Kluyveromyces lactis: one gene and its partner. The protein of the gene in region 1 binds, or shares a complex with, the protein of each later gene. Links are inferred from orthologs where the notes say so. Each region holds a gene or a part of one and is shown on either strand. Other genes may lie near its edges.

Evidence for each region.
Region 2: the proteins of ATG8 (region 1) and ATG7 are in contact, whole or in part, in a crystal structure (PDB 3RUI), measured with the Saccharomyces cerevisiae proteins. The link is inferred for Kluyveromyces lactis from reciprocal best matches to the Saccharomyces cerevisiae genes ATG8 and ATG7. Residues at the interface, in NP_009475.1 of Saccharomyces cerevisiae: Arg28, Glu37, Lys38, Lys46, Tyr49, Leu50, Pro52, Leu55, Gly58, Gln59, Val61, Tyr62, Val63, Arg65, Lys66, Arg67, Pro72, Glu73, Lys74, Ala75, Ile76, Phe77, Phe79, Asp82, Thr83, Leu84, Pro86, Thr87, Ala88, Glu112; in NP_012041.1 of Saccharomyces cerevisiae: Gly333, Thr334, Leu335, Leu436, Val437, Asp438, Ser439, Arg440, Arg443, Ala460, Ala461, Leu462, Gly463, Asp465, Ser466, Tyr467, Leu468, Tyr486, Cys488, His489, Asp490, Val491, Val492, Ala493, Thr495, Asp496, Ser497, Asp500, Met506, Thr510.

Annotation. Positions count from the first base shown.
Region 1 is NC_006041.1:1,826,104-1,839,837, reverse strand, and holds ATG8 (ubiquitin-like protein ATG8), read right to left. Parts: upstream 10,142-13,734; coding exon 9,767-10,141; downstream 1-9,766. Other genes in the region: KLLA0_E20681g (uncharacterized protein), read left to right, coding at 1-696; glutamyl-tRNA(Gln) amidotransferase subunit PET112, read right to left, coding at 1,161-2,780; KLLA0_E20637g (uncharacterized protein), read right to left, coding at 3,160-4,095; NUP170 (Nup170p), read left to right, coding at 4,734-9,092; RTT105 (Rtt105p), read right to left, coding at 10,648-11,211; isoleucine--tRNA ligase ILS1, read right to left, coding at 11,581-13,734.
Region 2 is NC_006037.1:455,861-465,362, reverse strand, and holds ATG7 (Atg7p), read left to right. Parts: upstream 1-6,111; coding exon 6,112-7,923; downstream 7,924-9,502. Other genes in the region: putative GTPase MTG2, read left to right, coding at 1-1,603; ATP-dependent RNA helicase DBP8, read left to right, coding at 1,889-3,196; NOP19 (Nop19p), read left to right, coding at 3,397-3,990; ribosome-binding protein NMD3, read left to right, coding at 4,246-5,790; histone acetyltransferase GCN5, read left to right, coding at 8,357-9,502. UniProt on the Saccharomyces cerevisiae protein: E1-like activating enzyme involved in the 2 ubiquitin-like systems required for cytoplasm to vacuole transport (Cvt) and autophagy. Activates ATG12 for its conjugation with ATG5 and ATG8 for its conjugation with phosphatidylethanolamine.

The DNA of each region.
Region 1 (13,734 bases):
AATATCGGCAATGCCAATTTCAATGCTCATTTGAATGATACTAATAATGGGAATGATAATGGATACAGTAATATCACTCCAACTGATGGCAACAGCGCACACAATAGCAACTTGTCTCTGAATCAACTAAATGGAAATGTTAACAATATGTCCCAGCTTCCAGCTTCTCATATACCATTCAGTCCTACTTCAAGTGTCACACCTCCTCCAATTACCCCTTCTCGCTTGTCATCTACTCTAAGTTCGGTGTCAGTTGGTTCTTCTGTAAGTAACGATATGGATCTCATGGTGCCTATGGACATGAACAATAATCGTTCCATTGGACAGCAACAAAATCGTTTCTTATCACAACAACATCAGAGTTTACAGTCTTTACCTCAACAGTATCAGCAACCACTGCATTCGCAGCCATTCCACATGCAACAGCAATCTTTTCCAACTTTTGGTAGTAATTTTATCGAACAGTCTTTCTCTCAAGGTCATGACTTTATGAACCCTTTAACACCTTCGTCATCATCAGTTACTGAAAATAATGATCCACAACTACCTTATGGAGGGGGGTTATACTCTTCAAGTTCGTTATCTTCGACTTTCATGCTCTCTGAACCAACTTCGACTTGGAATAACGACTCTTCTGCCCAACCAACTACTTCTTCTGTTTCCATCTGGAATTCTGACATGAGCGTTTGGAGTTAAAGAATTTCAACGTTTCGAAATTTATGCGATATTCCACTAATGCAACTACACAACCCATGAGTAGTTTCATCTTTCCGAAAAACTGTACATTGTAAGTTCGGTTCCCCTCTAATTATAGCCTGAAGTTTCTATTTCTTCATTTCTTCCAAACCTGGATTTTGTTTATTGTTGCAATTACCTTAAGAAGGTGACTGCCTAATTTTTCTTTTCAATGGTATGGGTACCCTAATATTTTTATTCAGTATTTGTAGAATGGTTCTACACACTTGGTATACAAGGTTTATAGTAAGGAAATTTTATAAATGGTATATACTTTCATATTAGTCAGGTAGTTAAAAGGTATTTCGGTGAATTATCCTTTGAATAATCTTAAAATAGTTTTGGATCGTAGTATGTTCATTATGAACTTATCTATTCTGTATTTACATGGATGATAGTGTGGACATGTTAGCGAAGGAATGTAATCACGGTTCAACACCAAGAAGTCTTTTGAAAGTAATTTCGAATTCTTGAGCTTGTATTCTACCTTGAGATATCCTCATGGCCTGACCGACAAGGAACTTAATAGAATTTTTCTTCTTACCAGATTTAATATCTTCAATCATTTTGTTATTGTTGAGTTCGGTAATTATACTTTCACAAATTAATTCGAGCTCTTCCGAACCAACATCTGAGACTGCATGTAGCTCAAATTCCTCAATTAGAGCATTGAAATTTATTGGCTCAGAAGCCACAAAAGAGTTCTCCTTAAAGGAATTCAAAATATGCGATAATAAAAGCTTACCACTGGCGTTGCTGATGGTTTTCTTAGAGATTAGCAAGAGTAATTCAGCAAATTTCTCCGGAGGTAGAATATGGGAAACTTTGATGAGAGGAATTTCCATCTTGTTTAGGTTTCCCAAAAGTTCATGAATTATCCAATTTGCAGGTAGTTTTCTCACGAACTCTTCGTTTTGTTTCTTGCATAATGAGTGATATGCATCAAATGTACTAAAATAGCATGCTCTTAATTCATCATGGGAATACAAATCATCATGGCCATTACTATTGATTGTGAGAATTTTTGCATCTTTTAAAGTTAGACCGTAGGGCTCTTGCATTAACATCATACAGGTATCGTCTGGTAACGTTGGAATTGTCTTTTCTACTCCTTCAACTATTTCATTGGTTAAAAGAATATTTGGTAGTTCTGGATCCGGCATATACCTGTAGTCTATGATACTTTCCTTAGTTCTGAGTTTAACAGTTTCCGAACCTGTCCATCCCCTAGTTTCTGTGTGTTTGAGTTGGTCACCTTCGCCTTTTTCTATCATGTTAACTTGTCTATTGTATTCGTATTTGATAGCATTAGTGATTGAGCTAGTATTTGGTAAATTCTTCAACTCTACTCTGGCGTAATCATTAATAGAAAGATTTACATCAACCCTCATCGCGCCCGTTTCAAGGTCACCTGTAGATATCTTCAAATGTCTGACAAGGTTTTGATATTTCTTGATGAAAGCTCTTATCTGTTTTAGGTCTGTAAAATCGGGTTCAGTCACCATTTCGATCAATGGCACATTCGAACGATTTAAGTCGATTTTTGTATTGGAGTCAGTAGAGTTATATACAGATTTACCTGTATCCTGTTCTATCTGTAACTGAATGACAGATATGTCTTTGAAAGCCTCTTCAATAGAGTCTAAATCTTTGTACAATCGTAGTTTACCTTTACTTGAGAAAGGATTGTAATGTTGTGTGATTTGATAGCCCAATGGTTGATCACCATAGAAGTAATGTTTTCTGTCAAAATGTGAGTTTAGACTGACCTTGCATCGTAATGCTAGCGATAACTTCAATGCAAATAGAACTGCCTGCAAGTTGAGTATTGGTTGTGTTCCGGGTATCGAAACATCGAAATACGATGTATGATAGTTTGGCTTATCCACATCTGCAAACGGGCTGTTAGTTGACATTGAAAAAAGCTTATTGTCTGTATTCAGTTGAGTATGGATTTCAAGTCCGCATTTTAACTTATACTCAGGAAGAATTTTGAATTTGGAACCAGTATTCCTCTTAGCATAGTTCCTTCTAAACACCAACATTTCTGGTTATTTATAGCTTATCACTCAGTAGTATAACACCCACTAGAAATTCAAAAACAGCTAATAAGCAGTTGGTAAAATCACTAACACACAGCGCCTAAAAGCCGTTCTTTTGTCAAGTATGTTTGTCTTTATATTCATGTTCATTGCTTCTGTTAATTCAAATTTCATGTTTTTTACCCGAACCTTAGAAAATGTGCCATAAGCACGATGACAGATTTATTTAACTGACGATTGAAAGTGACATAACTTGTGCACACAGTGTATTTGGATAGTTTGAGCTTTGTTTGCCTTATTCTGTTTTATACATTTTTCATAAATATTATACACCGTTTCAGAATTATCTTGGTTTTCGAACAGCCATAATTATTGTTTCTAACTAGTTCCTTTTATCGGTGTGGAATAGAATAGAGTTTCTGTTCAAAGATTTCTTTCCGTCCGTAACCTTTTTCTTAACAGATCTACAGTGATCCAAACTATCTGGTAGTGATATTTGATCAACTTCGTCTTCGTAATAGTTACAATCTGAAATTTTCTGCTTAAACAACAGTTGGCAATCAATATCTTCATCAAAAGCACACGACTTAGCACGGAATTTTAATTTGGAGCTGGGTATCATTTTAGAAAGAGGTTCGATGTTTTCAATATGCACAGTTGCCTTTTCCGGTCCAACTGGTTCAATTTGTTGGTTATTGCACTCTGGTACTTCATTCATTGGGTTTAATATATAGAATGGCTTAACTGATTCAGGCAAGTTGGTAAAATCATCAATTGAAAACGCCTGTGAAAAATACCAATTTGGGTCCAACTTTTGGTACACTGACGGAATATAGCTAGCAGTTCGAAGGTTACCTTTTTGAGACCAGCTCAAGTTTGGTAAGCATTCCAATTCAAACAAAAAATTAGTTCTACACTTCGTCAAATCTTCATCTGAATAGTGAGCGTCTTTGATGAAATAATCACGATTTTGAATGCTTAATCTTCTTTCAAGGTCCTTAAAATTATCTTGTAATTCTTCTAACTTTAAAGAAGTCAAAACTTCTTGCTTTTTCGTATCTAACACAGTGTCCGTCTCTATATTGGTGGACAGCCTTTTGCGTTGTGGAGATTGTTTTTCGAGATGTAAGTTCAAAACCCCTGTAAGGCTGCTGCTAGCTGATTGAGGGCTTTCGTTTAAGTAAGGTATTTCAATCGGAATATTCTCCTTATTCAAATCTTCCAATAGGATATTTTTTTTTAAGCACATCCTTTTCGCCGGCTGGGTATTAACATCTTGGTTATCCAATGGGATCTTTCTTCTAAGCTTTCCGACCATTTTTGCCTTCTGTTTGAGCGAACGCTTTTCTATAGGAAAATTGCCGGGTAGTACTTTTCAAAGCAGGAGATTTAATTGATAATTTACTTAATTTTGAACTTATAATCAGGACCCAAGGTTTCTGGTATCATCTTTTATATTCCATTACCTATAGTACCAATTTATTGACATTTTGTCACAAAAGTGTCAAAATAAATGAACATGATAAAGTACCCATAGTTGCTAATACTAATATATATCGTCACGTATCACATGAAAACATACACTGGATGTTTCTTATGGGTGAAATCAAGAAACTGAATGCTTTGCAACTAGAATAAAGTTGATCTGTCGAACTGTAATGGTATTGTTGGCCTTTATGAGTTCACTATCATGTTCCAGTTTAGATCACCAGTTCCGGGTAATCATTTTCAAATTTTTTTCTTTGGTTCTCTGAATAAACAAATAAAGATGATGTTCTAAATCTACCTTGCAGAACCAGGTCTAACAGTTATGTTTCTCTAAGGGCACTTTGTCCAATTGGTTAACTGATTGCTCAGCATAAAATTTTGCTTTACTGTATCTGTGTACTTGTCTTTTTTGAATTTCGGAAATAGGGTATAGACTTGAGCTAACAGTGTATCGGCAAGACAGGACAGATGTCAATATATTCTACGCCGTTGAAAAGCAATTGGAATGGCAATGCAAACTTTGCCAACCCGTCTGCCAATGTCAACGGGCTACCGATGAATGGAATTGGCAATACCTCTTTGGTGCCTCAACAACAAGGATCAGACGGTACTATAGGAACGTACGGTGCTAATATGACAAACGTAATTTCAGGTTTAAACGGCAACACAGTAAACCCACTGAACTTTAATGCTTCACATGAGCATATTAAGGTAACGGGTCTTGGTGCTGCAAATCCTCTGAATCTTGCCTCTCAATACATTGATCATTTGTTGCGTCGTGACATTAGTACCCCGGTACTGGATGAAAGATCGTACTACAATAATGGGGTTAACTACAATTTTTCCAAGGAAGTTGGTGGATTAGGCCCATTTACTCCGTTTGAAAGACTTAATGTGATTAACATACCAGATGAAATTTTGCAGCAAGTATCTACTGCTGAAATCAAAACAAATATGGGTTTATTTCCCGATATTGAACGTTGTTGGATCACTGTTGATAGCAAGTTGATCCTCTGGCATTATAATAACCCTTCAGATTTCCAATCAATAGATGACATCAAGCATACCATATTACAAGTTGCCCTAGTGAAACCGAAACCTGATACATTCGTGGAATCAATCAACCACTTGTTATTGATAACAACTCCTTTTGACATATACATACTCGCAATTTCTTATGACAGAATCAGCGGCTCGTTCAATATCTTCAACACAGGGATGAGCGTTTCTGTTCATGGATTGGATGTACATGAAATCGTTTATTATGAGAAAACAGGACAAATCTTCTTTTCTGGTAACAGCAATGGGACCAACATTTGGGAACTTCAATATTCATCTTCAGAAGATTGGTTTAACAATAAATGCAGCAAACTTTGTTTGACACAGTCTGCTCTTTTGAGTTTACTCCCCACAAATATTTTCTCCAAGATTCCAGGCTCGGCACTTGTACAATCTTTATTTGAAGAAGATTCAAAGTATGCACAAGAATACATTACACATTTGACTGTAGACCAATCGCGTGGTATTTTGTACTCATTATCATCAAAATCAGTCATCCGAGCTTATAAGATTAATGGTAAATCCTTAGATGGACCAACTACAATCGAACCCTCTTATATTAAACGTATCATGGGAACGACTCCGGCTAGAGGAGCTGCTATCTTGGGTAACAAATATTTGAAAATAGTTAAAGTAGAGGTGGTTTCGAAAGAAGAGAATAACAATTTATTTTTGGTAGCTATCACAATTGGCGGTGTTAGGTTATATTTCAATGGTTCTGTTAATTCTGGTAGCGTAGAAGCTTTAAGATTAGAATCCATCAAGTTCCCACCAAGTTCTGTCAGTCCAGAAACCATAGAAATTGAGTTACAACAGCAGCAGCAGCAACAAACTAGAAAACTTACACCCTTCTATTCTTCCCTCAACAGTATGGAATCTGTACAGTTGAAATACCAGAAAAAATCGTCAGTGTTACTTGAAAGCTCGAAAGCTTCGTCAATTATTTCACCTGGCATTTTCTTTTCTGCTGTTACAAAACATCCAGCGGAACAAACATTGGGAACTATGGGAACACCTGTAGCAACTGTTCAAAACACTCCAATACAACATAAGCTCTTTGTCAGTGTACCAGATTATGGTATTTTGAAGAATCACGGTCGCTACGTCGAAAATTCTGTATTTTTGGATACCACCGCCCCAGTAAGAGAAGTTATCCCCATATCCTCTTTGTTCAACGGTGCCAATAAGCCAGAGGGCTATGCCAATGCTTTTGCAACTCAGTACAGTGTAGAACCATTGAAGGTTGCCGTTTTAACAAATACATCTGTGGAAATCTATAAATACCGTAACCCAGACCAGATCTTGGAGTCCTTAATTAACAACCCGCTGCCCTTCATTGTAAATTATGGGTTAGTCGAAACCTGCTCATCTGCTTTATTTGTCACTTGTAAATTCAATAAGTCAGAGTCTTTGAGATCCAATGCGTTAACTCTTTTCACTGTAGGTATACCTAATGTTGTGGAAATCAAACCAACATACAACAAATACGCGAACAGTGCGGTATCAACACTACTAGGTAAACCATCACTGAATTTGATGACCCCACAAAAAAGCTCTACTGAATTAAGCAAAACTGCCAATACTCTTTCGACACCAAATGTATCTGGTGCAAATAATTTCAACCTTGATGATGTCATCTTGTCCGCTAGATTCTACGGTACCGCTCTGTTGATTGCCAGATTATTTAGAGACATATGGGATAAAGATATTTTCCAACTCGATCCCCATGTAAAAATTAATCCGGATAATTCAGTGATGAAGAGTTCAATTAAAGGTGATAATATTATTACAAAAATCGTTGTATCAAGAGGTGATATCGAATATTATCTATCCTCAGTAATGATTTTAAACGAGTTCTTCCAATCATATGGTAATTCAATTACAACAATCACTAATATTTCTCCAATTAATGGAGAAAAGGTGGTGGATAAAGGAGAAGATGTTGCGCATCAGGCAGAAAATGTTGCTATGAACGCAGTTATCAAACTCCTTCAATCCATAAAGGAGTCACTTTCATTTTTGAACGTACTATTCGAAGAGAGTGAAGTAGATGGTTACGAAGGGCAATACTTAGCATTTGTTGACATTATGAAGTACTTGAATTTCGATATTCAATACGACTTAAGCAAGTTGAAATTCAAGGATATTTTCAATCCCAATGAACAAACCAAAAATTTAATAAGAGAGATTCTCTCCTCAATCATCAACAGAAGTATTACAAAAGGTGGATCTATTGAATACATCGCTACTGCACTTCAAGAACGCTGTGGATCGTTTTGTTCCACCGGTGATGTTCTTGGCTTTAGAGCTGTCGAGCACTTGAGAAAAGCAAAAGAAATAGGACTCAGAGATCAAGAAACACTCAACTATCACCTAACCAATGCAGCAAAGTTATTTGAAAGAATAGTTGATGATGTGTCTTTAGATAAGATAAAAGAGGCTGTAGGTATCATGTTGGAACTTAATTACTACCCAAAAACCGTCGAATTTTTGTTGAATATTGCCAATGCGATGGACAAGGGTAAATTGGCACTTCAATATGTTGCAGATGGATCTTTGGAACACGATGAAAGGAAAAAATACTACAATGCTAGAGTTTCGATCTATGAAATTGTGTTCGAAACTTTAATCAAAGTTGACCAACTAGCTGCTCTGCCTGAAAATGTTAACAATCAAGATATTCAAAAAACCCGCGATGAGGTTTACAACGTTACTTTAAAATATAACGACAAATTATTCCATTATCAAATGTATGATTGGTTGGTACAGCAAAAGTCTGAAGAAAAGCTTCTTCAGCTAGACTCAGATTTTATTCTACCATACTTAGAAGAAAAAGCAGCGAAATCCCTAGAAATTTCCAATCTTCTTTGGGTTTACCAATCCAAAAGATCGCATTTCTTGGAAGCAGCTCAAATTCTGTATTCATTAGCTATTTCGGATTTCGATATTCCTCTACAAAACAGAATTGAGTACTTGTCAAGAGCTAACGTTTTCTGTAATGGAGTCTCTCCGCCAAGCCAAAGGCAAGCCATGATTCAATTATCTGGCATGATAAAAGAAGTTGTCGATGTAGCAAGCATTCAAGATGAAATTGTCCGTGCTCTCAAGGATGACCTCAGGATTGATTCGACTGTCAGAAATGAAGCCTTGCAACAACTTGAAGGCAAAATTTTGACCGTGACTGAACTTTATAATGACTTTGCCGCACCATTGAGTTATTATGAAATTTGTCTGCTCATTTTCAAAGTCAGTGACTTTAGAAATCATGAGGAAATCATATCGAAATGGGAAGAGCTTTTCAGTTCTTTCAAGGAACATTTATCAGAGAACAATGCTACGGATGAACTGGAAAAAAGCACTACTTTCATTAGTCTAGCATCATCAACAGTGATTCGTGTTGGTAAGAATGTACGTACCAGTGAATTTGTGTTCCCAGTTGTTGATTTATTCCCACACATCTGTAGCCTAATATATGAGAACCTTCCAAAAGAACACATCAAAGCAGGTTCAATTGCATCTATTTTCATCCAAGCTGGCGTCTCATACGACCGAATGTACCATGTTCTCAAAGATTTAATTGAAACAACTACCAGCTCCAACGATATTTACGAACAAGAGATGGTTTGGCTGATTAAAGAATGGTATCACTCTGACAGAAAATTGAGAGATTTGATACCACTAGAAGAAATTCGTTCCTTCGACAAGTATTCAATTGAAAATGACCCATTGGAAAATTACAAAAAGCGCACAGGTGATAGTGTGTTTTGAGTTACTCTAACCTTTCAGCGAGATGGTAAAAAAAAGAACAGCTTTAGTTTAAAACGTCTGTTGTGGTGTTTATTTCCCTTTGTATACTATATTGATAAATAACATTTTCACCCCAATCTTAATAAACAAAACAACTAATATCAATATTGCTTTCTTATGATGTTGCGATAAGTCTTTGGTTATGGAAAGAATATATTAAACCGAATTTCGACCTGCAATCTGCTGAAGAGGTATATAAAATTGTATATTTATGAAGAACCTCTTTCGAAGTGAAAAAAAAAAGCCTAGAGATTTCATTATGGAACGGCAACATATGACTTCATCAGCAGGTATTATAAGCAACGCTTTGTCCAGATCTAGGGAACTGTTGCAGCTAGAAATATGAGAATAGGATAAATAGAAGGGAAAACATATCAGAAAGATTTCAAATACTGCTTCGGTATATATCTAGAGCAAAAGGTGTGGAAGAATAGAAAATAATAGCATCGTAGACATTCGACAATGCATTTCATCTTATCATCACTTCAATATTGTTATTCAGGTTCTTTCTTTTAGATCATCTTTTCAACAATATCTGGTTCAAAATTGTGCATTAGTTACTTGTTTTGCATCAAGCAGAACAACCTAATGGAATCATAAAAGAAAACTTAAAGGGAAGAAAGTTTAACTTAATCTCATTCCTCAGAAAACAGGGCATCGTCACCAAAAGTGTTTTCACTCGAATAGGATACATAAAGGAACCCGTCCTTATCCTTGTGTTGTTGGTAAATAGAAGACATTAAAGCTGCTGTTGGAGGTAAAGTATCATTGACAAAGATGAAAATAGCCTTTTCAGCAGGTAGCTTGATTCTCTTTCTAATTACATAAACAAATTGGCCAACAGTCAAATCTCCTGGCACCAAATATTTGCGTTTATCAATGTCTGGAATATCCGATTTGCCACCTCTTTCACAGATCACTGGAATACGGTTATGGAACTTTTGCACTATCCTTTCAGATTCAGCCTTTCTCTTTTCAAATGGGAACTCAGATTTGAATGCAGATTTCATTGCGTTTTAAAACTCTCTCCTATAATACGTAACACCGATAAAAATAATCAAACTCTCTTGAAATATTCTCCTGTCTCTATTTCAAACTAATAACCCGAAAAGATGTTTGTAACTTAACTTTCAAAAGTCTAGCTGATTTGTTCCAACTCTTGAATCGTGTTGTGTCTCTTTTTATCCGTCTTTCTGGTTCTTTCTCTCTCTCAAGAAAAAAACTTGCACGTAATAGCACTGTACTGCACTTTTCTTGCAAAACTCAAACAGATTACTGGGTAGCTAAGAAAAACGCTCTTTGTTTAGTTATCGATGATATGCGCCGCTTTGATCTTCGCGTGTGTTCCCTTTTTATACCCTTTCTGCTGTTTGGAAAATGACAAAACAAAAGTGTTCCCCCCTTAAACGGTTTGAGATGCCGTTGACCCTTAAGTCACGTGGGAAAGACAGAAAATGAATCACGTGATATCCGGGTAACAATACTATGTACGTATATATGTGTGGAAGCTGCTGCTCTATATGCTAAAGCCAGATAAGGTTTCCTCGAGCTCCTGTTGTTCTTGCTCCATCAAGGATTCGTACTCTTCCTGCAGTTCTATCAGCCGTATCAGCTCTTCATCCTCATTTAGCTGTTTTGGCTCCCTCTTTGTGGAAATATTATTCAACATAGCGGGTTCATCGGCACTATTCACGACCTCTCCTTCATCTTCTACCAGTCTATCAATCTCATCTGGCGGTATCTCGTGTTTCTGTGCTTCTTGTTGCATGTCTTGCAAGTGTCGTAGGTATTCTTGTTCCATGACGAATTGTTCCATGTCGTTTCTGTAGCTATTGATCTTCTTCTCTCTTGCCAGTTCCCGTAGTCTGCCCTTCCTTCTTTCTCTCATAAGGTCTCTAATGGGGGACGATGATGATAACGGTTGCTTGTACCTTTGATATTTGAGCTTTCGCTCTTCCAATATTTCATCAGTGATATTAGAATCGGCTCTTCCATCGTTACTTTGGACATTGTCAAGATCGGAATCGCTATCTTCTTCGTGATATCTGCCATGAACCGGACTGCTCGGTATACAGTTCATGTAGAGCTTCAAAGTTGTGGATTAACGTCTGCAATACACCGGACGGCCTGCTCCAGGCTTCTTTCCCCAGCGTACATAGAAATAACCTTAATCCTTTTGGCGTTTAATGATGCTGGTCTAGAGATATGGTTTTTTGTTCGATTAACTTCATAAACTGAAAACGCCTTAGAATTACATATACACATTATATTCGAAATAAGATATGAGATCGACTGTTGCTAGAGAATCAGCAGAGGTGATCTACGGAGCCAATAATTGCAATTAAATTAATTAAATGTGGTGAATTTATAAGTAGTACGGACGGGTTTCGTTTCACTAGAGAAACGTAACTGCTATACATTTTTTCCCACTTTATATACATTTCAACATCTATAATTTGAAAATCTTCAACTTGAAGATGGTATCGTTGATAGATAGTTCTTCATCAGCAAGTGGATTGGTTTCTGATCCTTCAGCCTTCAGGATTTCAGACCTACATGTCTTAGTCAACATGTCATGATGATCTTTGACGATATTCTCAAAGTCAATGGTATCTTTAACTAATTCATACTTGACAATGACATCATCTGTGGCTTCAAGACCACACTTCTTTCTCAGCTTTTGAACTCTGTTGATCAATTCTCTAGCAAGACCTTCAGTTTTTAGCTCATCGTAGATCTTGGTATCTAGAATGATCAAGACATCGTTATCAGTTCTGGTTTCTTGTCCGTCTTGAACAGCAGATTCAGGAAGCCCTCTAATGGCACTTAGATCACCTTTTACCAATTGAATACCTGCTACTTCAATTTCACCGGTAGACAAGTAATCCTTGACTTGGGCAGAAGTTAGAGTTGGTAGAACGTCTTTGACCTTCTTGGCATCCTTCTTCAACTTCTTACCTAATACTGGCCAGTCAGCAACTGCTCTGTATTCCACACCGTATTTTTCCTCCTCGGAAGTGATGATGATGTCGCGGACGTTCAATTCTTCAACAATGTACTTTTTCAATGCTTCGATGTCCTTTAGGTAATCTGGATTGGAATGTAGAATGACCAAGGTCTTTAATGGAGTCTTCAAAGAAATAGTCTTCTTTTCACGAATATTTCTACCAAGGTCGATAACAGATTGCATTCTCTTAACTGCTTTTTCAATATCTTCATCGTAAAGATCTTCGTTGACTTCTGGATAGCTCAAGAAGTGGACGGATCTAGAATCCTTACTGTATTGAGCCAATACTTCCTCTGGAATGAATGGTCTCAACTTGGAGTAAATGTTATCCGATAAGAATGGAGTGAATGGAGCCATAGCACGGACAAATGTGAACAATGCATCAAATAAAGTGTTCAAAGCCTTCAAACAGTCTTCGACACCACCTTCACCCTTCAAACGACGACGATTGAATCTGATATACCAATTTGTCAATTCATCAATAAAATCTAGTAGTCTTGGAACCACTGTATAAAGTTTGTAGGTGCTCATTTCTTGATGAATGTAAGCTACCAAAGACTGTAGAGAGGCAAGAATCCATCTATCCATGACATTATCCGATTTCAGGTGTGGGTTATACTTGAAGTCAACATCAGAATTCTTCTTCAACAAAGCAATTTGGCCATCCAAGAACTTGAAAGAGTTCCACCATGGCAACAAAACCTTGGAAACAACCTCCTTAACACCTTCTTCCTTGAACTTCAAAGATTCAGCCTTCAAAACTGGAGAGTTGATCAAGTACAGTCTCAAAGCATCAGAACCATATTTCTCCAAGACGATGTTTGGATCTGGGAAGTTCTTCAAACTCTTGGACATCTTCTTACCGTCAGCAGCCAAAACGATACCACTAACAATAACATTCCGATAAGGAACTTCACCGAATAGATGAGTACCCAAAACACCCAAAGTATAGAACCAACCTCTGGTTTGATCCAAACCTTCAGAAATGAAATTAGCTGGAACTCTCTGGCTGAATTTTTCAGTGTTCTCAAATGGGTAATGTTGAGATGCATATGGCATGGAACCAGATTCAAACCAACAGTCAAACACTTCTTCGATTCTTCTTAAGACACCCTTACCCTTCTTGGAGGGAATGGTGATGTTATCGATGGAGTCACGATGTAAATCTGTGATATCTTGGACACCGGAGAGCTCTCTCAATTCTTCAACAGAACCGATACATACCATTTCTTCATAATCTTCGGATACCCACAATGGAATAGGAGTACCCCAGTATCTGTTTCTGGAAACGTTCCAGTCACGAGCATTAGCAATCCAGTTAGAAAATCTCTTTTCCTTGATGACAGTTGGCACCCAGTTAGATTTTTTGACCGATTCCAAAAATTGTGGGATGATGGTCTTAACGCGCACGAACCATGCAGGAACAGTTCTATAAATCAATGGAGTATCAGATCTCCAACAAAATGGATAACTATGGCGAATTTGAGAGTTCAACAGGATGTGGCCGGAAGCAAGCAATTTTTTGATGATTTCTTTATCAGCGTCCTTGACGTACATTCCAGTGAAATCACTGACTTCTTTGGTGAATTTACCAAC
Region 2 (9,502 bases), on another chromosome or scaffold:
CTGCAGGTTTTTTTCAGATGTACCAGATAATGCACCTGGCGCTATTGATAATGAGATATGGCTGCAAGAGCTAGCGAGCAGCCGATCTAAGCAAAAGGCTCCAACAGCAGCCGTCGAATCAACTCAGAACTTGTCAATAAAGGAAGAGAAGAAGACTTCTGTTCAACCAATGAAGGGATTAAGGAATAAGATTACATTCAATATTATATCGACGCCGCCAGATACGCAATACATCGAAATCAAATCGCCATTGTCAAACTTCACCAAGCTATCATACCTACAAAAGAATAAGAACATACGAGTTCAACAGTCGAACTTTGTTGACTTGAGAATCATCAAGTGTGCTTCAGGTAATGGCGGTGACGGATGTATTTCGTTTTTTAGAGATAGAGGGCGCGCCATTGGTCCTCCAGATGGAGGAGACGGGGGCGGTGGTGGGTCTGTGTACGTTCAGGCCATAGAAGGAATTAACAGTCTCTCAAAACTTCAGACTACATATATCGCAGATAATGGTTCTAATGGTACTTCTGCTCAGGCAGATGGATCGAAAGGTAAAGATGTAATGATTACAGTTCCGGTCGGGACGGTGGTAACATGGTGCTTGGATCCCAAAGTTGTGAGAGAGCATGTAGACCAGAAAATTAAAGAACAGGGAGGAGGATCATTGAGAACCATATTGGACACTTCCAATATCATCTTGAATTGTACAGGCAGATTTTACATGGATCAGAAACCAAACCGTATTCAAATGTTCAGAGAATCTTACGAACCTGGAAAAGGTTGGATCTTTAAGGGTAAAGATGAAGAATATCATTTATCAAAAGACTGGTTTCAAGACCTTTCCAAAAATGTAACAGAATATGATCATAACTTACTACAAACGGAGCTTGAATCTGATAGATTCCCATTATATGGATTGGATTTGAGTAAACCAACTGAGAAACCAATCTGTTTGCTAAAGGGTGGTAAAGGGGGTCTAGGTAATATGCATTTCTTAACCAGCTTGATCAGAAACCCAAGATTTTGTAAAGAGGGTAGGAGTGGACTTCAACAACATTTTATGTTTGAATTGAAAAGTATTGCTGATCTGGGACTTGTTGGACTACCAAATGCCGGGAAATCTACTATTTTAAACCAGATTTCTAATGCTACTCCTAGAGTAGGCCATTGGGAATTCACTACGTTACACCCAACGATTGGAACAATCTCACTTGGGATTGACAAACCGAAGTTCACAGTTGCAGATATTCCGGGAATTATTAAAGATGCCTCTCAGGACAAGGGAATGGGTCTTGAATTTTTAAGACACATTGAACGTTCCAAAGGTTGGGTTTTCGTGATCAGTCTTGAAAAGGATGATCCATCTCAAGATTTACAAATACTTATTGAAGAAGTGGGTGGCAAAGAGGTTGTATCATTGAAGAATATTCTAGTGGTTTGTAATAAAGCTGATATCGATGAGAAATCTACATTTAAGAAGTATCAGAAAATCCAAGCCCAATGCCAAGAAAACAACTGGGATGTCGTACCAATAAGTGCTCTCAAAGGAGAAAATATTGATGTACTCCTGCATAAAATGGCACAATGTGCTGGTAAACTGTAGATATAACACGAATAAGCGGCACATCCTTACTGGACGTCATGCTCTACTTCTTTTTCTAAGTTCCGATGTTCGAATATTGTTCCGAAATCCAATATTTTGGGCCCCCAAAATCCCATATTGGTGCATATTTGAATGAAAAAAGAAAACGGAAAGAGTCTTTAACATGTAAAATTTCTATACAGATGCGATGAGATGTGCTTTGACCTAAAGGCTGTGGTTAGTAGGAGTAACTTGTATATAAACCTCGCCAAGAGTACCTAAGAACTATAATATCTATATTAAGAGATGTCTAATTCTGAGTTCAAGTCCTTAGGATGTTCAAAATGGTTAGTGGAAGCATTAAATGCGATGAAAATCGTGCAGCCCACTGCGATTCAAAAGGCTTGTATTCCTGAGATTTTGAAAGGGCGTGACTGTATAGGTGGTGCCAACACCGGTAGTGGTAAGACTATTGCTTTTGCAGCTCCGATGTTGACCAAATGGTCCGAGGACCCTCAAGGTATGTTTGGGATCGTCTTAACACCTACCAGAGAACTTGCGATGCAGATCGCAGAGCAGTTCACAGCATTTGGAAGTGCTATGAACATCAGAGTCGCAATAGTAGTTGGTGGTGAGAGCATAGTGCAACAAGCTATCGAATTACAGAAACGACCACATTTCATAATAGCCACACCAGGTAGATTAGCACACCATGTCCTGAATAGCGGGGAAGATACCATTGGAGGGCTAAAAAGAGTAAAATTTCTGGTACTAGATGAAGCCGATATATTATTGACGGAAACGTTCAGTAAGGACCTTGCTACATGTGTAAGTATTTTACCACCGAAAAACAAAAGACAGAATCTCCTTTTCACTGCTACTATGACAGACCAAGTGAAAGCTTTATCAGACGCTCCACAGACGGAGGGCAAACCTCCTGTGTTTACTTTTGAGGTTGAGTCTGTTGATAACGTCGCCATTCCGAAGACATTAGAGACGACATATTTGCTAGTCCCAGAGCACGTTAAAGAGTCATACTTATACCAGATATTGACCAGTGAGAAATACGTCAAATCAAGTTGCATTATTTTCGTTAATCGTACCGTAACGGCTGAAATCTTAAGAAGAACTTTGAAATCTTTAGATGTAAGAGTCACGTCACTTCATAGTCAAATGCCACAACAAGAAAGAACGAACTCTGTACAAAGATTCAGGGCACAAGCTGCGAGAGTTCTTATCGCTACTGATGTCGCTTCTAGAGGTTTGGATATCCCTATTGTTGAACTTGTTGTAAACTATGATATTCCTGGCAACCCAGATACTTTCATTCATAGAGCTGGTCGTACAGCGCGTGCCGGACGCCATGGTGAATCACTATGTTTTGTAACAGAAAAGGATATTCAAAGAGTAGAGGCAATTGAGGAAAGGATTAATAAAAAGATGGAAGAGTTCACCGATGTAGGTGATACAGCCGTGATTAGGAAGTCGTTAACTAAGGTTACAGCAGCAAAAAGAGAAAGTCTCATGGCCATGGATAAAGAAGGTTTTGGTGAAAGAAGGAAACTCCAAAAGAGAAAGAATGAATCCAAAGAAAAGACTCATAGACGTACATAAACTCACATAGTTGATAGACCTATCCACATATTCCATTTAAAAATCAGTCACGTGAATTCTGATTCTTCCTTAGAGAGTAATCACTGAAAAAAAAATGGTAACTTATTCTTTGAAGCGATGAGATCGAACCAGATGAGATGCATCGGCCGCCATAAAGGTATACTCTTACAATCTAACAAGTAATACAGACTCACCAAGCCATGTCAAGAGCTCAGGAGATAAAAGAAAAGCAAGCACTACTTGCTAAATTTCAAAATGGGTTTAGCAGTTCCACTGCTAAGGTGCTCGGATGGATAGAGGATTCTAAGACGTCATCTAATGATCTAGCAAAGGAGGATAGCAACGAATCAAAGAAGGAATTTTTCCAGTTGCCTGTCATTCAAATAGGAAGCGGTTTATCATTTGAGAACGCGCAAAGTACTGATGATACCGATATACATACCATTGGAGAGTTCATCAAAAGTGATAAGAAGGTCAGCTCTTTAGCCAAAAAGAAAAGAGCTACCAAGGACGTGCAACAGAGAAACAGTATACACAGAGTGAGGAAAGACGACTCCCAGGCTATGGTTTCGTTAAAACATAAGATAAGGAATCAGGAAAGACAGAAGATACGTAACGAGCTTCCGAGAGGCACAAATGTTTCGAAAGACCACAGTAAAAACCAATATTATACCAAATCGACTTCATCGCATTCCGACTCTTCCTCGGATGAAGAAGATATGGAACCTAAAGTACAAAAACATTCCAAGAAACAATTTGGCTTGCTATTTGCTGGAAAGAAATCCAAACGTTGAACGTGTTAATCATTCTTTATAAAGTGTAATTCTCCTGTATATAGACTAGCTTAATATGCATAGATGCATAAATCCAAGGTTCAAAGTCACGTGCAAAATTTCTTTTTCTTGAGGGTTCGCAGTCTCTTTTAAGAAAAATTTTGAGAAAGCTCATCTCATCGCATCTTGTTCTTGCACAGTCTGATAGTGCTTGAAAGCTGATTAATGTCTGCATTATAGGTATTCCAGCAAGGGCAGAAGTATCCACCGAACTCGATGAATTACACTCCGTTAGATCAGAATCACATGCAACATCAGCATGCTACAGTGCTATGTTGCAGTTGTGGTGTGCCTATGGATGGGTCCTCAGGGCTAGTTATGTGTTACGACTGTATTAAGTTGAATGTCGATATTACAGAAGGTATTCCCAGAGAGGCTAATGTTTCTTTCTGTAGAAACTGTGAGAGGTTCTTGCAACCACCAAGCCAATGGATTAGGGCTTCTTTGGAATCTCGTGAACTTTTGGCGTTGTGTTTACGTCGTTTGAAAGGCTTAAACAAAGTTCGATTAGTGGATGCATCATTTATCTGGACCGAACCTCATTCTAGACGTATCCGGGTCAAATTGACCGTTCAAGGTGAAGCTATGGCTAACACTATTATCCAGCAAACATTTGAAGTGGAATATGTGGTGATTGCCATGCAATGTCCGGACTGTGCTAGATCTTATACCACTAATACATGGAGAGCAAACGTCCAAATTAGACAAAAAGTTCCTCATAAGAGAACTTTCTTGTATTTAGAACAGTTGATTTTGAAGCACAATGCCCATGTTGACACCATTTCCATTAGTGAGGCAAAGGATGGTTTAGATTTCTTCTATTCTCAAAAGAACCATGCTGCTAAGATGTTGGATTTCTTAAATGCTGTCGTACCTATCAAATGTAAAAAATCCGAGGAGTTAATCTCTCAAGATATCCATACCGGTTCATCTACTTACAAATTCACTTTTTCCGTGGAAATTGTTCCAATTTGTAGAGATGATTTGGTTGTTTTACCTAAGAAGCTTGCCAAGTCTTTGGGTAACATCAGTCAATTTGTCATCTGTTCCAAGGTTTCTAACTCTCTCCAGTTCCTGGATCCAACCACTCTTCAAACGTGTGATTTGACTGCTCCAATGTACTGGCGTGAACCTTTCAGTGCATTAGCTGAAGTGTCCCAACTAGTTGAATTCATCATATTGGACGTTGAACCTACTGGTCAAGTTAGAAACAAATGGGTATTGGCTGACGTTACTGTCGCTAGATCTTCCGATCTAGGCTCCAATGACCAAGTCTATTACGTTAGAACACATCTTGGTGGTATTATTCATCCTGGTGACAGTGTCATGGGTTACTTTATCGCTAACTCTAACTATAACTCAGAGCTCTTCGATGGTTTAAATATTGATTACGTGCCAGACATCGTTCTAATCAAGAAACTATATCAAAGAAAGACAAAGAAGAACAGAAAATGGAAGTTGAAGAGAATGGCTAAGGAACACAAGGATATCGAAGCTTCTCAAGACTACACTTCAAGACAACAGAAACAAGAAATGGAACGTGCTGAAAGAGATTATGAGATTTTCCTACAAGAATTGGAGGAAGATGAGGAAATGAGACAAACAATCAATCTATATAAGAGCAACAAACCAGCAGAGCACGAAGGCGAGATGGAAGAAGATGAAGATGAAGATGCTCCACAAATTGATATTGATGAACTATTAGATGAGTTGGATGAGATGACTTTAGAAGATCAACAACAAGGTGAAGAAATGCTATAGAATTTGGTTTAGTCTCTTCTTGTTTGGACAATAATTACAATATATATTTACGAGATAGGCAAGTTAGTTGAATTTACTCATCATCTGCATTAGATCAATGATACAATGGCCGTCTTGTATAGTGTACACTAGTGAATATTAATAATTGGCATGTTTCAGGGTAACAATGCTTTCCTGAGTTTAGTTCATTCTTGTAAAAAAGACGTCGATTCGTAATACTACCCTGATACACTATACCCTTAACTGCAGTGCATAGATAAATAAAGTAAACCAAGAAGTACTATTCTTTCTTCATGGAACAAAACCTGAGTACCAGGAAAGATGCTTAACGATCTTAAGTTTTCACCAGCTTTTAAGTCTTTTGTTGATACCTCGTTTTTCCATGAATTATCAAGATTAAAACTTGAAGTGTTCAAGTTAGACTCTGCTGAGAAAGAATTGTTCTCTGCACTAGACCTTGAAAATATCACTTCTAACACTGTTTCACTCTCGCTTAGAGATGACAGTTTCGATCCTGTTCTCAATAATGAGGCAGTGACTTTGAAAGGGTCAGTGTTGAATTTTAATACTATCGAATCATTCAAATCCTGTGACAAAGTAAAGTTTATCAAGGAAAAGGGACAGCAATTACTAGAACAGGGCCTCAAGAATGGTCTCAAAGAGTGTGTTAGGTTTTATGTCATAAGCTTCGCCGATTTGAAGAAATATAAGTTTTATTATTGGGTTTGTATGCCTACTTTCCAGTCTGAGGGGTCATCGTACGAAATAATCTCAACAAAATCAATCGAAGATGGTGTAAAGAAGGATATATGGGAGCAGAACAGCTTTATCTCCTGTGTTGTGGATGGAAAGATTCAGGAAGCATCACCTCAGTATCTCAAAGTATGTCAGAAAGTCATCTTCAAGGACTTCAGTCGGCTGAAGGGCATTCCTGCCGCAGTTACTAAGAACTTTCTAACGGTTTGGAGTCAAATATCCACAAGGAATACGTACACCATATGTTTCCTTCGTGATGATAATTCCAGCTTCGCGGCAGAGATCAGAGTTACCGGGAGCAATACAGGATGTCTTAAGGTCAGCGGTTGGGAGAAAAATGGTCTTGGAAAATTAGCTCCGAAATCGGCTGACTTAAGCTCATTGATGGATCCCGTGAAGATAGCAGAACAATCCATTGATCTCAATCTCAAGCTAATGAAATGGAGGATTGCTCCTGACATTGATCTAGAAAGAATAAAGAACATTAAAGCATTGATCTTGGGGTCAGGTACCCTAGGTTGCTACGTGGCTAGAGCTTTATTAGCTTGGGGTACTCGTCATGTAACTTTTGTCGACAACAGCACTGTCTCTTTCTCTAATCCGGTAAGGCAACCATTATTCAACTTTGAAGATTGTGGGCGACCAAAGGCCGAAGCTGCCAGTGACTCTCTGAAGAAGATATTTCCTTCTGTCGTTTCTGCAGGTTATCAATTGGAAATACCAATGATAGGACATCCTGTATCGAACGAAAGCAAGCAGAGGAAGGATTATGAAATTTTGGACGAGCTTATAAGGACGCATGATGTTATATTTCTTTTAATGGATGCACGCGAGACGAGATGGCTTCCCTCGGTGCTTGGACGAATGCATGAAAAAATAGTTATTAATGCGGCCCTTGGTTTTGACAGTTATTTGGTAATGAGACATGGCAACAATAATGACAACCTGGGTTGCTATTTCTGTAACGATATCGTGGCCCCAAGTGATTCTCTAACTGACAGAACATTAGATCAGATGTGTACTGTAACTAGACCGGGTGTTGCCCTATTAGCGGCTTCCCAGGCTGTTGAATTATTGGTGACATATCTTCAGCCTTCGACGAACGTGCTTGGGTCAGCTCCGCATCAAATACGAGGATTTCTAAATGAATTTAAAACTGTAAAACTTGAAACACCGGCATATCAGCACTGTTGTGCAAGCAATGAAAATGTCATTTTAACTCTAAAGGAAAACGGATGGAATTTCGTGAAACAGGCGCTAGATGATTATAAGTGTGTGGAGCAATTAAGTGGACTGTCGAAGGTGCAAGAGGAGGCTGAATTGGCAATTCAAGAAGATATTTCCTTTGATGACGACGAGGAATTGTCAATAGAGTGAAGTATAGCCAGTGCATCTGACAGGCTGATGCGTGGAATGATGTGACATGCATTCCTTTTGTGATGAAGCGTAGAAATCGATATTCGTCGTTAGGAAAAGGTGTTTATCTCTGATTTAACGGTCAGGATGAAATTTAGTTTTATAATTCCCAAGATAAATATAAGTCTTGCACAATTTGCAGCGTATTACGCCATGACGGGCTTGGTACACCTACATAACTGGGCCTTTTTCCGTGATCCATCAGCTTATACCAGGCATGTTTTAGATGTAGACTAAACTCGTTATCCGACTGTGGTGTACGGATGTATAAATCAACTTGAAAAATTACCAAAGCATACAAGAACGGGAATATATATTAGGTCGAGTAGACAGGATAAATAGTCACACGTAGACAAGATAAATAGTCACACGTAGACAAGAAGCTAAGCACCAAATGCCACCGAAGAGACGCCACCATGGTGCTGGAAGAGTCCAGAATAAGAGGGGAAAAGTTGACACTGTAAAAGAGGAAATCAAACCCAAAGATGAGCCTGTGGAAACTGAAATCGATGGCGGATCTGCAGTTGATGAAGATGTTACCGATGATTTAGAACACAAGACGAGCAAGGAAGACCAGAAGGAAGACCAGAAGGAAGAGGACGGACCTATAGATGCACAGAACGGAACTTCTGAAACAAAAGTTGCGGGGGAATCCGTAAAAACAGTGGAAGACAAAATCGAATCAGTTACAACGAATGAAGAGGTCGTTGAATCACCAGTCAATGACTACAATGCCAGTAGTACAACTACCAAGGCTGAAGAGAAACAATTAGAGGAAGAAGCAAATGAAAAGACGGATACATCTCCTATAGTTGAAAATGAGGTCGTTGATGAAGAGGCCGGCACAACAAAATTTGACTTTGATGGTCAAGAATACAGTTATAAAGACAGACCTAGTGTAATAGAAGAGAAGGAAGGAAAGATTGAATTCAGAGTGGTTAATAATGATAATAGCAAGGAAAATATGATGGTTTTAACAGGGTTAAAGAATATCTTTCAAAAGCAATTGCCTAAGATGCCCAAAGAATATATTGCTCGTTTAGTTTACGATCGTTCACATCTTTCTATGGCCGTGGTACGGAAACCGTTGACTGTTGTTGGTGGAATAACCTATAGACCTTTTGATAAAAGAGAGTTCGCAGAAATTGTCTTCTGTGCTATTAGTTCGACCGAACAAGTCAGAGGTTACGGTGCACATTTAATGAATCATTTAAAAGATTACGTGAGGGCAACATCGCCAATAAAGTATTTTCTAACATATGCGGATAATTATGCTATCGGGTATTTCAAGAAGCAGGGATTCACGAAAGAGATCACATTGGACAAGAATGTCTGGATGGGATACATAAAGGATTATGAAGGTGGTACCTTAATGCAATGTTCCATGCTGCCAAGAATCCGGTATCTTGATGCAGCAAAAATCCTCTTATTGCAAGAAGCAGCAATTAGAAGGAAAATTCGTAGCATTTCTCAATCTCACATAGTTCGTCCAGGTTTGAAACAGTTCTTGGATCTTGATAATATAAAACCCATCGATCCA